3 linked regions of the Nothobranchius furzeri genome follow. The main gene of each other region encodes a partner of the protein of the gene in region 3 in a complex. Links are inferred from orthologs where the notes say so. Each region holds a gene or a part of one and is shown on either strand. Other genes may lie near its edges.

Region 1 (3,744 bases), on a different chromosome or scaffold from region 3:
CTGCAGAACGATCTGTGGTGGGAGCAAGACGACGGTGAAGACAAATAAAAAGCAGGGCTCTCTCTGAAGACCAGAGATGGGTTACTCACGTCGATAGGCAGCGTTTCGTGCTCCTTCTCTGTGAGCCGCATGTATGACCGATCTGATGGGAGAGTTGGGATTTAATCAGAGTAATATCGACAATAACTCACAGAATACTCTTAATCCAAACATTAAACGACGGCAGTCACACAGAAGCGAGCAGGTACAGATTAAAGTCTTCCTCCGTTGGAGGCTCTAGCGGAGCTAGCTAAGCTGCTGTGGCCACAGGCCCCGCGGTCCTTCACTCGGTGGAGACTCAGTCCAACCAGAACTAACCAACACAGGAAAACATCGGTCTAACATCTTGGCGCTGAAACTCACGCTGTGCTGCCGAGAACGCTGCGTGGGCCAAGGCAAAGAGTCCGATGCCGACAACACCTTTCCAAAACGAAGAAGCCATCTCGAAGCAGGGCTCAGAGGGACTGTGGGCACCGTCGTAAAACAGTCGTAAACTGACGCAACTGTCACTGCGTCAAAACCAAAACCTACCTGCCAAATGATTATTTATGTTCGTTAAATATTATTATTCGCAGCCTGATATCTGTAAAATCATTTTATTTATGTGTTTTTGCCCTCTATTTAGATTTTTGTGAGCTGAAAATACCCAAAGAAAGCTGTCAGACGTCAAATGGTGCATTCGAATCACATCCTAAATTACATGTTTCTAACCAAACTCATTGATCTCCAACCAATATATTTGATCGAAAATTGAAGATTAGATGTATAACTAGAAAGAGCTTTTCATGGTTTAGTGAGCGTTTGCGTCAAAATAAGTCCAGATACACATAATTTTATTCTGACCTCGATTTAAAACCAGAATATCCGAGTGTGCCCTGAATCTTCCACTACATCCGGTCTCTGCGTAGCTTCTTCCTGTTAGCTAGCGCTGTTCTCTCATGTTGCCTTGCTAAGCGCTCTGTTACAATAATTAAACTTTTACAGTTGTGTAAGATAAAATAAGCAAACATGGCAGACGCCATTCAGAAGAAATTAAAAGCGGAAGTAGAAAAGTATGCACAAATGCAGAAAGGTGGGTTTTCTTTATGTGCTATCACAAGTTTTAGAGGGCATGTAGCCGCTATGTGTGCATGAAGTAACGTTAGCTTTTTGGCCATAAGAATAGTTTTTTAACCCACCTGCGTGTTTTTTCAGATGTTAGCAAGAACATGTCAGCCAGACAGAAACTGGAGACGCAGCTGACAGAGAACAACATTGTTAAAGAGGTAACTTCAGTCCTGTATGGCTGTATATCACAACGGTTTGTGTGTAATAATCCAGACATGACTCGCCTGTGTTTCCAGGAGCTGGATCTGCTCGACAGCTCAAACACCATCTATAAACTTATCGGTCCTGTTTTAGTGAAACAAGATCTGGATGAGGCCAAAGCCACCGTGGCTAAAAGACTGGAGTACATCAACGGGGAAGTGTAAGTCAAGCTGCTGCTTTACTGTTCTACAGCTCACCTGCACACCAATGTCTGTGTCACAGTGGTGAAAGATGGTTAGATTTGATCTTGTTTTTACAATTTCAGGTGGACGAAGCCGGTTAAACCCTGATTTTACTCAGACTCAGGCAGGAATCTTAATGGAAACAAACATAAAATGTAATTCTGAGCAATGCCAGACGCAGAGATGAGATCATCAAATTAATGCGAATATTAAAAAAACAGTTGGCCCTTATCATTTATTGCCATTGACAGCTAAAGACGTCATTTTAAATCCAGTGGCTCGCTGCAATTGACAACTAAAGCTGTCAGTTGCATTGTTTTAACGGGGTGGGCGTGGGATCGAGCCCCCGCACCATGAGAGTAAACATGACGTCTCTAAAGCTGATCTTAGTCCGTGTGTCACACGTCACCTGATCAGGAAGGAGAAAATCCATGAATTGGGATATTGTTTTGGGACGCTGCTGTGAAAAAAGCGAGGCGCTAACCAGAAAAGCGTCTGCAGCTCACACTTGGACAACAGATTGTGAAAGAATGGTTAACGCTAGAAACACGGTGATTCTTCCTGATGTAAAAAGTGAGTCTACTCTTTCTTTCGATAGTTTTGGCGTTTGCATGATCATAGAGCACAACGTTCTGACTCTTCAAAATCAGTAAAAACGCTCAAAAACGCTGGCAGCCAGGGGATTTCTGATCAGAAAACAGCGCAGTGAGTGAGTTAAACAGGATCCACCATAGTTCCTTATTTTCTTGTGGGTTGAAGCTGCTGACAGTCGCTTTTAAAACCATTTATTTAACCAGGAAGTCTCATTTTTAGTTGAACATGAAGGGACTTTCTTAAATTAGCGTGTTTGACATAACCGAATCCTTCACTAAGCGATTCCGGGTTCTAGCATGGCGGTGGTTAGGATGATACGTTTCACCTCTTGAGTGTGCACTGACGGAAGCATATTTTTTGCGTGTCACTTTTCCACTCAAAACGCAGCACTGAAGAGATGAAGTTGGAGAGGAACGGAAAACTTCATCCACAAAGACCAGCAGTTTGTTTTACTGGAGAATTAGACTGGAAAACCGGCATTCCCAGTTAGAACCAGAGAGGAATGTTTCAGTAAATCTGAGTAAATACCTGCTGCTGGAATTAAATGAATCAAATACAAAATCAGAAAATACAAAAAAAAACAATCGAATCCAGAATTATAATAGTTTTACTAATTTTGCTTGTTATTCTCATCATTACATATTTCCAGAGATTGTGAGTTAATTAAAATTAAAAAACACAAATTCCATATTTCTGACTGTGAGGATTATGTATTTTGATACTCGACACCCAATGTGTCACATATTAAAATATGCTGACTAATCCCAGCTGTCAGCCGAACGAAGGATTAATTGTATTGGACACAGAGACAATCGCATATTTAAACCTGGAAACAAACAAACAAAAAAATTTGAAAAATACAAAAGCAATGAGACAAATGAAAAACCTGCTAAACTTTGGAGAAGCCATGGCGCTCACACCGCCTTCACACTGGCTCAGCAGGAGCAGGAACACCTCCCGTTCAGGTTCAGTTATCCTGGTTATTCCTCCTCTCCTCCTAATCCTCAACCTCCATCTTTGAGAGTGGAGCTTGAAAAATCAGAAAAATGTGACGGCTGGATCGAATCAACAACAAAAATAATTTTCCTACAAGGCATTCTGTTTCGGACACACAATCATTTATGTTGAAACGTACCTTAAAGGGATACGATGTAAAGTTTTCATATTTTTAATCATTTTCTTGAGTAAGTATGTGCTAGAATGACCCTTAAAGGAGTCATCACCCGTTACTACCGTGGATATCTACATCACATTATATTATTTAGGCCATGAAAGTCATTTGTATTGGAAAATTAATTAAAAAAGTGCTTTTCTGACCCTTTTTTGTAAAGGACAGGTTTTCTCACAAGAGCACACGCGATATTTCGGCTGTGCTGGGCGTGTCATTTGGAACCGTAGGGTGTCCATGAAAGATCCCGCCTTTCTCGCCTCTGATTGGCTAGAAGGACTCAACTACGATTGGCTATTTTATTTAGCAGCAAACTGGCTTCCCGGCCAGTGAAAATTCATTAGGAAGACATTATATGGATTTTTTTCAAGTGGAAAGGTGAAAACTTCAGGTGATGACTCCTTCAGCAGGGTTACAGAAATGTAACTCAGACCCCCGCAGCCCTCTGTGGCC
Region 2 (3,756 bases), on a different chromosome or scaffold from region 3:
TTGAATGCTTGCTGTTTTTTAACATTGGTGGTCAAATTAATGGTGGGGACTATTGGGTCATTGCTGGATATTGGTGGGGACATGGTCACCTCCGTCCATGCCAAATCTACGCCCATTAACTAAGCTTAAGCTGTCCGTTTTACAGTTTGATTAACACTAGATGAACTGTCATGCATCAGACAATTAATGCACCAATAAACAATTTGAATGTAGCATCACATATTTTACACATTCAAACATATATACATATTTATATATAATATATATATATTTTTAATCCCCATCTCATCCTCCGCAGGTAGTCTCATCCCTCCAAGCTTCGGTTCCTATCAGAGACCTAGGAGCTTGAGGGTCCTGCACAGTATCTTAGCTGTTCCTACTGTAGTTTTTTGGACTGAGATGTCTGATTTTTTTTCCCTGGGATTTTCTTTAGCCACTCCTCCAGTTTGGGGGCTACTGCCCCAATGACCACGGGCACCACCGATGTCTTTACTCTCTAGGCTTTCTCAAGTTCTATTTTGAGGCTCTTGTACTTTTCTAGTTTTCTCATGTTCATAGATAGATAGATAGATAGATAGATAGATAGATAGATAGATAGATAGATAGATAGATAGATAGATACGATAAAATGCCACATATTGTTTTTGTTTCTCATTTTTATTGTAAATTCAGAAACAAGGTGGTGTTGTGTGTGTGTGTGTGTGTGCGTGCACGTGCGTATTGAAGACTGATCAGTTTAGGCTGGCTTTTACATAAACTCCTGTAGATCATCTGCCAGCTCTTAGTTTATTTGTGATTGTTAAACAATTAAAGTTCCCTTGGATTCAAAATCCAGTCTGCATGTTAAATGTTAAAACGGATTGCCATACACCGATAAACGAGAAGGACTTTGCGCCTGTTTGGCGGCAGGGCGGAATAAACCAATAAACCAGTTGTCGCTATGTCGTTAGTCAACCCGTTTTTGTTTTAACCAATGACAGACTAGGGTTATGTGTGTTATGATAGAGGGGAGGGGCTTAGTGGGTTTCTGTCCCCGTTGTTTTATCGTGAATCACAGAGGGGGCGTGGTCTAGATGGAGGCTGGGCAGTAGTTAACATGGTGGTTTAGTATTTGCCTGGTGTACGTCGGAGGAGGCCCTCGCTACCTGGATTTTAGTTTGTCTTTCTTTGTTACCCTTTTATTTTGTTTTCTTTAAGCTTCATCATGGAGATGAAGAAGAGGGTCAGTCTGGCGCTGAAGAGCAGAAGTCCCGCCGAGGTTTGTAATTAAAACAAAGTATACTGGTATTTAGTTCAAGGAGAAGGATGCGGAGTCCGACAGACACGATGCTGGTTTTATACCATGGAAACCTGCGTTAAGAGCCTTTCTGCGGGCTAAACAGAACATGTAGCTCCGCTGCGCTGCACTATTCTGAGAGGCTCTAGACCCGGTGGACTCCTCCGCGTTTAGTTTCTCGCGCTGTGACTTCTCGTTCTGGTTGCGGGAGAGCCTCGCGTGAGCCGGACTCAACAGCTAACAGTTAGCAGCAGCTAACGTGGTGATGGTCTGGTGCTCCTGGACCGACCCGAGCCGCTTAACAGCTCCCGATCTCGGTGTTTTACATAATGTGAGCGTAATTTTGTTGAGTTTTAGGTCAGAGCCAGCTGCAATTTAATCCTCTAAGTTTGTTGTTCATCCTTTAAGGAGTTTAGAACCAGACCATGTGTTATAGAAGCCAACTTTTACGTTTCATTCTTTGCAAACCTTCGCATCGCTTATGCGTGTTCGTCCTACTTTTTAAATTCCCTGGTGGTTTTCCCGCCCACATCGCTACAGAGGGTTGGGACTCCACGGGGTGAGTCTCTGTAGTTGTATCCGGATGGTGGTCTTTGGCGAGGTTCTGTGTAAAAAAAAAAACAACAAAAAACTAAAGATCATCGTTCCTAGGCCCTTTTATAAGTATTCAAATCAACAGTTGGTAAGTGACTACTGTTCAAAACTTATTCGTTTTCCTTCTCCTGAACAGCTGCTTCTCGTGAGCAATTATCAAACTTACTCTCTTAGACTGTTACTCAAACACGAAAACCCACTGTTTACGCATTTCTACCAAACATTCAACAGCAAATGCAGTCCACATTGTACATTTTTGTCCTTCACACATTATTTTGTTCTTGGTTTGTTTTCTAGCTTGAGTTTTCAGTATCTCAATCATCTCCTCTGTGACCTCAAAGCGCAGTACTCAACACCACCAGTAGATGGCACTCGGATACCATTTCTTTTTAACAATATAAGCCTATAAAATAAAACGCATTTAACTGCAGGCATGATTGCAGCATTACAGGTCCTTCAAAAAAATTGGCATATTGTAATAAAGTTCATTATTTTTTGTAATGTACTGATAAACATTAGACTTTCATATATATTAGATTCATTACACACAACTGAAGTAGTTCATTCCTTTTATTGTTTCTAATATCGATTATTTTGGCATACAGCTTATGAAAACCTAAAATTCCCATCTCAAAAAATTAACATGTTTCATCCGACCAATAAGTGTTTTAATACAAAAAAGTCAACCTTCAAATAATTATGTTCAGTTATGCACTCAATACTTGGTCAGGAATCCTTTTGCAGAAATGACTGCTTCAATGCGGCGTGGCATGGAGGCTATCAGCCTGTGGCACTGCTGAGGTGTTATGGAGGCCCAGGATGCTTCTATAGCGGCCTTAAGCTCATCCAGAGTGTTGGGTCTTATGTCTCAACTTTCTCTTCACAATATCCCACAGATTCTCTACGGGGTTCAGGTCAGGAGAGTTGGCAGGCCAATTGAGCACAGTAATACCATGGTCAGTAAACCATTTACCTGTGGTTTTGGCACTGTGAGCAGATGCCAGGTCGGGTCGTGCTGAAAAATGAAATCTTCATCTCCATAAAGTTTTTCAGCAGATGGAAGCATGCAGTGCTCCAAAATCTCCTGATGGCTAGCTGCACTGACCCTGCCCTTGATAAAACACAGTGGACCAACACCAGCAGCTGACATGCCACCCCAGACCACGGGCGCAGATAGGATTTTCAAACTGGGGGGGACAAAGATCCAATGTACCCTCCCCCACACACACACACATACACAAACTATTGCAAGAGCCTTAACTAGAGCTCAGTCAGTTTGTGTAATTTCATCCAATGGTTTACGTAAAAACTAACACTTTTATATACGTGTTTGAAGCCATTATGCAATGGAACGCTGGCAACGAAGCTCTGCCTGATCAACACTATAAATAATAAATGATCCGCACTTGTATAGCGCCTCTCAGAGTAAGGACTCCAAAGCGCTTTACACTACAGTGTATCATTCATCCATTCACACACTGATGGTGATGAGCTACGATGTAGCCACAGCTTCCCTGGGGCGCACTGACAGAGGCGCCCCACTATTTAATTCTGTCATTTGTTATTCTTCTATGATTACTAACCAAAACCTCATGCTTTATGCAAAACATTAAATGATTTTCAGCATACCAATCTTTACAGAAAACATAAAAACCCTAAAAAACTGCACATAAAATATATTTAAACAACGATATTCACTTATCACTTAGAACAGTGGTTTCCAAACTTTTCAGCCTGACCAACAGATGTTCCTTCGTGTTTTTACGTTATTTCGAAATTTTCATTATATTTGGAAAGTTTTTATTTATGTATAAATACATAAATCTCTTTTTAAATTTTATGCTTTACTTTTTTATGATTATGTGGCACACTTCCATACATAACGC
Region 3 (3,021 bases):
TGTTGGTTTCCTGTATGTGTTTATGTTTAGGGTCCCGTCGGCCTGCCTAGTCATTTTCATGTCCATAAATGCTATACTGCCATCTGTTTCTGACTCATTTGTGAACTCTGCAAACCCCAGATGTTTTGCAGTCGGCAAACTGTCAGCAAGGTAAAGAGAAACCTGTCCTGTGTTTTAAAAAAGAACCAAAAATGGAATTAGAAGCCAAACACAGAATAACGTACCAAAGATGGTTAAAGTCTCTTTTTAAAACTGATCTTAGCACTCCCCCTTGTGGTAAGAATGAGTACTGTAGCGTTTACACTGCACAGCTGGCTGAATTTAAGATTATCTTTTTTTAATGAGAAATTATTTAAATTGTGTGAAATGGGAAGTTTGGAGTAACTGCGGAGTGTTTTTTTCAGTAAGTGATAAATTATTTCTTCCCTTGTTTATTTTAGTCACAATTTTTCCAGATGAGCTAATTCTAATATCAAAGATAACCCGATTCTAATCTAATCTAGAAACTAAGAATCTGACTCTGTCTGAATACAAAAACACAAAAATCTGTAGTACAAAAGCCAGTTTATTTAGATCTAAAGAAATAAATCACATAAAGAGAAGTAAAAAACAAAACTACAAGGGAATGAATGTTCCTACCACATGACAACACGGAAAAGCCTTAGGATAATGCAGATTGATCCATTTTAAATCCAATTTCAGCACTGAGTTTTAAATTTTCTTTTGGAAAGAGAAATAATTAAGAATTTACTGCATTTTTTTTCTTTCTTTGCTGTAAATTGAAGTTAAAATCTAATTTATTGTCCAACTCTGAACTGACTTTAAATCTGGGTACTAAGAACAAACAAAAACAAGGCTGACGGTTATTATACAAGGCAGTCCTCTTGATTATGAGGTATCCATGGATGCTGTTTCTGAAACATGAAAAGAAACAGATTTAGCTTATTCACCGCTTTCATTCCAGATGTTAAAATCCTGGACAGAAAGTGATATTTCTATACATCCAGAGGAGGAAAACTCACGTGTTTCATTAAAGAGGAAGGAATCCTGATACTCCTTCATGTACTGGGAGGATCTGGCCTCATCCAGGAACAGAGAGTAAACCCGTTTAATGTCCTCCACTTGAACTTCTGTCCCCTTTAGCAGCAACAAAAAGACACGTGACACACACACACACACACACACGATTTGAGATCTGATGCTGATCCGACGCTTCCTCTGAGCTTACCTTACGTTTACGGCACACCAGTCCTGCAGTGCTGATCAGCTGGATGGCGTAGCGCAGCGACGTCTCCATGCCGATGCGAGTGAGGACCATGTGAGCCTCCTCACTCAGCTCAACATCCTCCTCCTCACACCTTACAAAGCACAAAAGTGTTTACTTCCCTAATTTGGATTTGGGAAGACAGGAACACGGTTCGTGGACAGGGAATACCGATTCCTACCGGATCTTAAGAATCTGCTTCAGCTCTCTCTCAGTGTAAGGAGAGGTGGCGATGATGAGCAGGCGGTCCAGCAGGTCGATGGGGATTCCATGAGGGCTCTGATAATTGGTGCCACGGATTCTATGAAGAAGATCATGTTCAATGTTATACAACAGAAAATTATAAGTACTTTCTTTCATTTTTCACAGATTTGAAAAAACAAATACAGCATTTTTATTTGTCAAATTAAAACAAGTGATCACAGTAAAGAAAACAATCTTTACTGACACTAGAGAGACATTTTTAAGAGTCAAATAAGTTTAATCACAAAGAGATATAATAAATAAGGTTGCAAGCATGCTTTATAAAACTGAGCCCAGATTAAAAGGAGGTAGTTTATGGAGGCTCAATCCCGCCACTATCTCATAATAGGGGTTGTATGAACTAGTCGAATAGTCGACTTCACGGCTCTGTAGTGACTTTTATGCCTGTCATCGACTAGTCGCTGTCAAGTGATAATGACTGACAAGATGCAGTCCTCGGAAAAGACAGCAGGTGATCCCCTGCGCGTCGGGAGGCAACGCGCTGTGCCAGAGCGTCGGTACTGACACCGGCGGTAAAACGGACATTTAACCAAATTGTGATGTTTACCCTCTTGCAATTTAACCTTCCCCTCACCCCCATCCTAACCTTAACCAGCTTGTGCATGCAAAGCTCTGATTGTTGATGCGCTCCAGACATCTGCGTCCTGAGCACGGCCACAGTAACATTATCAAATCAGGTGTCGCCACCTCAAAAACTAATTAAACACGCAATCGTTCATGTCGGCTCATTTCCTTTTATGTTTTTTGTCTTTTATTTGTGCCTGATGCGTTTCGCTGCTGCGGAGCGGGGCGCATCACCTGTTTTGTCCTCCGGTGACACACCTAACTGACGTGGCCGGCGAGCACTCCGCTGTTTTTGCGGTCGGTAGATCTTTTAGAACTGCAGTTCAAAGGTAACTCATAAGGTGAATATATATGAACCCAGGTAGCAGTTTTTCTTTAGGATTGAGAGGAGATGCAGGAAGATAATAAACAGACAGGACAGAAAAATAGTCAAATAAAAACAAGTTAGTTTTTGTACCTGGTGGTTGCAACAAACAGACACCATTGAAGGTAATCAGAAGTGAGGAACAGAAAATGAAATAATTATTTTAATGTTTAGAGCAGCAGGAACTCCGAGAGACTGCAGGCACATCAGTGAGTTTGCGGCCGCTGCGCAGGGGGGGGGGGGCTGAAGCAGAAACTACCGTTGTTAAAAGAAATGTCTTTAACTTAGAAAATGTGGGCGCAATTTTAATTGTCAAAAACTCCAGCGAACCTACCGACCCCCCCCCCCGCCGCTTCAGGTATATGACGTCATCAACGACTAGTCGAAGTCGACTCGATTTTCATTACTTGACTGTCGACTTTAAAAAAAATAAAGTCATGCAACCCCTATCTCATAATTACAACTTTACCATCTCATAATAAGATAGGGAAGTTAGAAGAAAAAAAAATTATAATTTTATTATTTAATTTTAATAATGAGATAGCTATGTCATATTTATGAGATA

The links.
Region 1: ruvbl2 (region 3) and pfdn6 share a complex: the UniProt entries of both Homo sapiens proteins name them as parts of the PAQosome complex. The link is inferred for Nothobranchius furzeri from reciprocal best matches to the Homo sapiens genes RUVBL2 and PFDN6.
Region 2: ruvbl2 (region 3) and acidic leucine-rich nuclear phosphoprotein 32 family member E share a complex: the UniProt entries of both Homo sapiens proteins name them as parts of the SWR1-like complex. The link is inferred for Nothobranchius furzeri from reciprocal best matches to the Homo sapiens genes RUVBL2 and ANP32E.

Annotation. Positions count from the first base shown.
Region 1 is NC_091741.1:28,885,108-28,888,851, reverse strand, and holds the start of pfdn6 (prefoldin subunit 6), read left to right. Parts: upstream 1-925; 5' UTR 926-1,047; coding exon 1,048-1,111; intron 1,112-1,233; coding exon 1,234-1,304; intron 1,305-1,382; coding exon 1,383-1,507; intron 1,508-3,744. Other genes in the region: mmgt1 (ER membrane protein complex subunit 5), read right to left, coding at 1-12, 90-142, 403-481. UniProt on the Homo sapiens protein: Binds specifically to cytosolic chaperonin (c-CPN) and transfers target proteins to it. Binds to nascent polypeptide chain and promotes folding in an environment in which there are many competing pathways for nonnative proteins.
Region 2 is NC_091745.1:59,038,572-59,042,327, forward strand, and holds the start of acidic leucine-rich nuclear phosphoprotein 32 family member E, read left to right. Parts: upstream 1-1,053; 5' UTR 1,054-1,204; coding exon 1,205-1,258; intron 1,259-3,756. UniProt on the Homo sapiens protein: Histone chaperone that specifically mediates the genome-wide removal of histone H2A.Z/H2AZ1 from the nucleosome: removes H2A.Z/H2AZ1 from its normal sites of deposition, especially from enhancer and insulator regions.
Region 3 is NC_091750.1:65,682,160-65,685,180, reverse strand, and holds the end of ruvbl2 (ruvB-like 2), read right to left. Parts: intron 1,566-3,021; coding exon 1,446-1,565; intron 1,359-1,445; coding exon 1,229-1,358; intron 1,138-1,228; coding exon 1,023-1,137; intron 915-1,022; coding exon 889-914; 3' UTR 548-888; downstream 1-547. UniProt on the Homo sapiens protein: Possesses single-stranded DNA-stimulated ATPase and ATP-dependent DNA helicase (5' to 3') activity; hexamerization is thought to be critical for ATP hydrolysis and adjacent subunits in the ring-like structure contribute to the ATPase activity.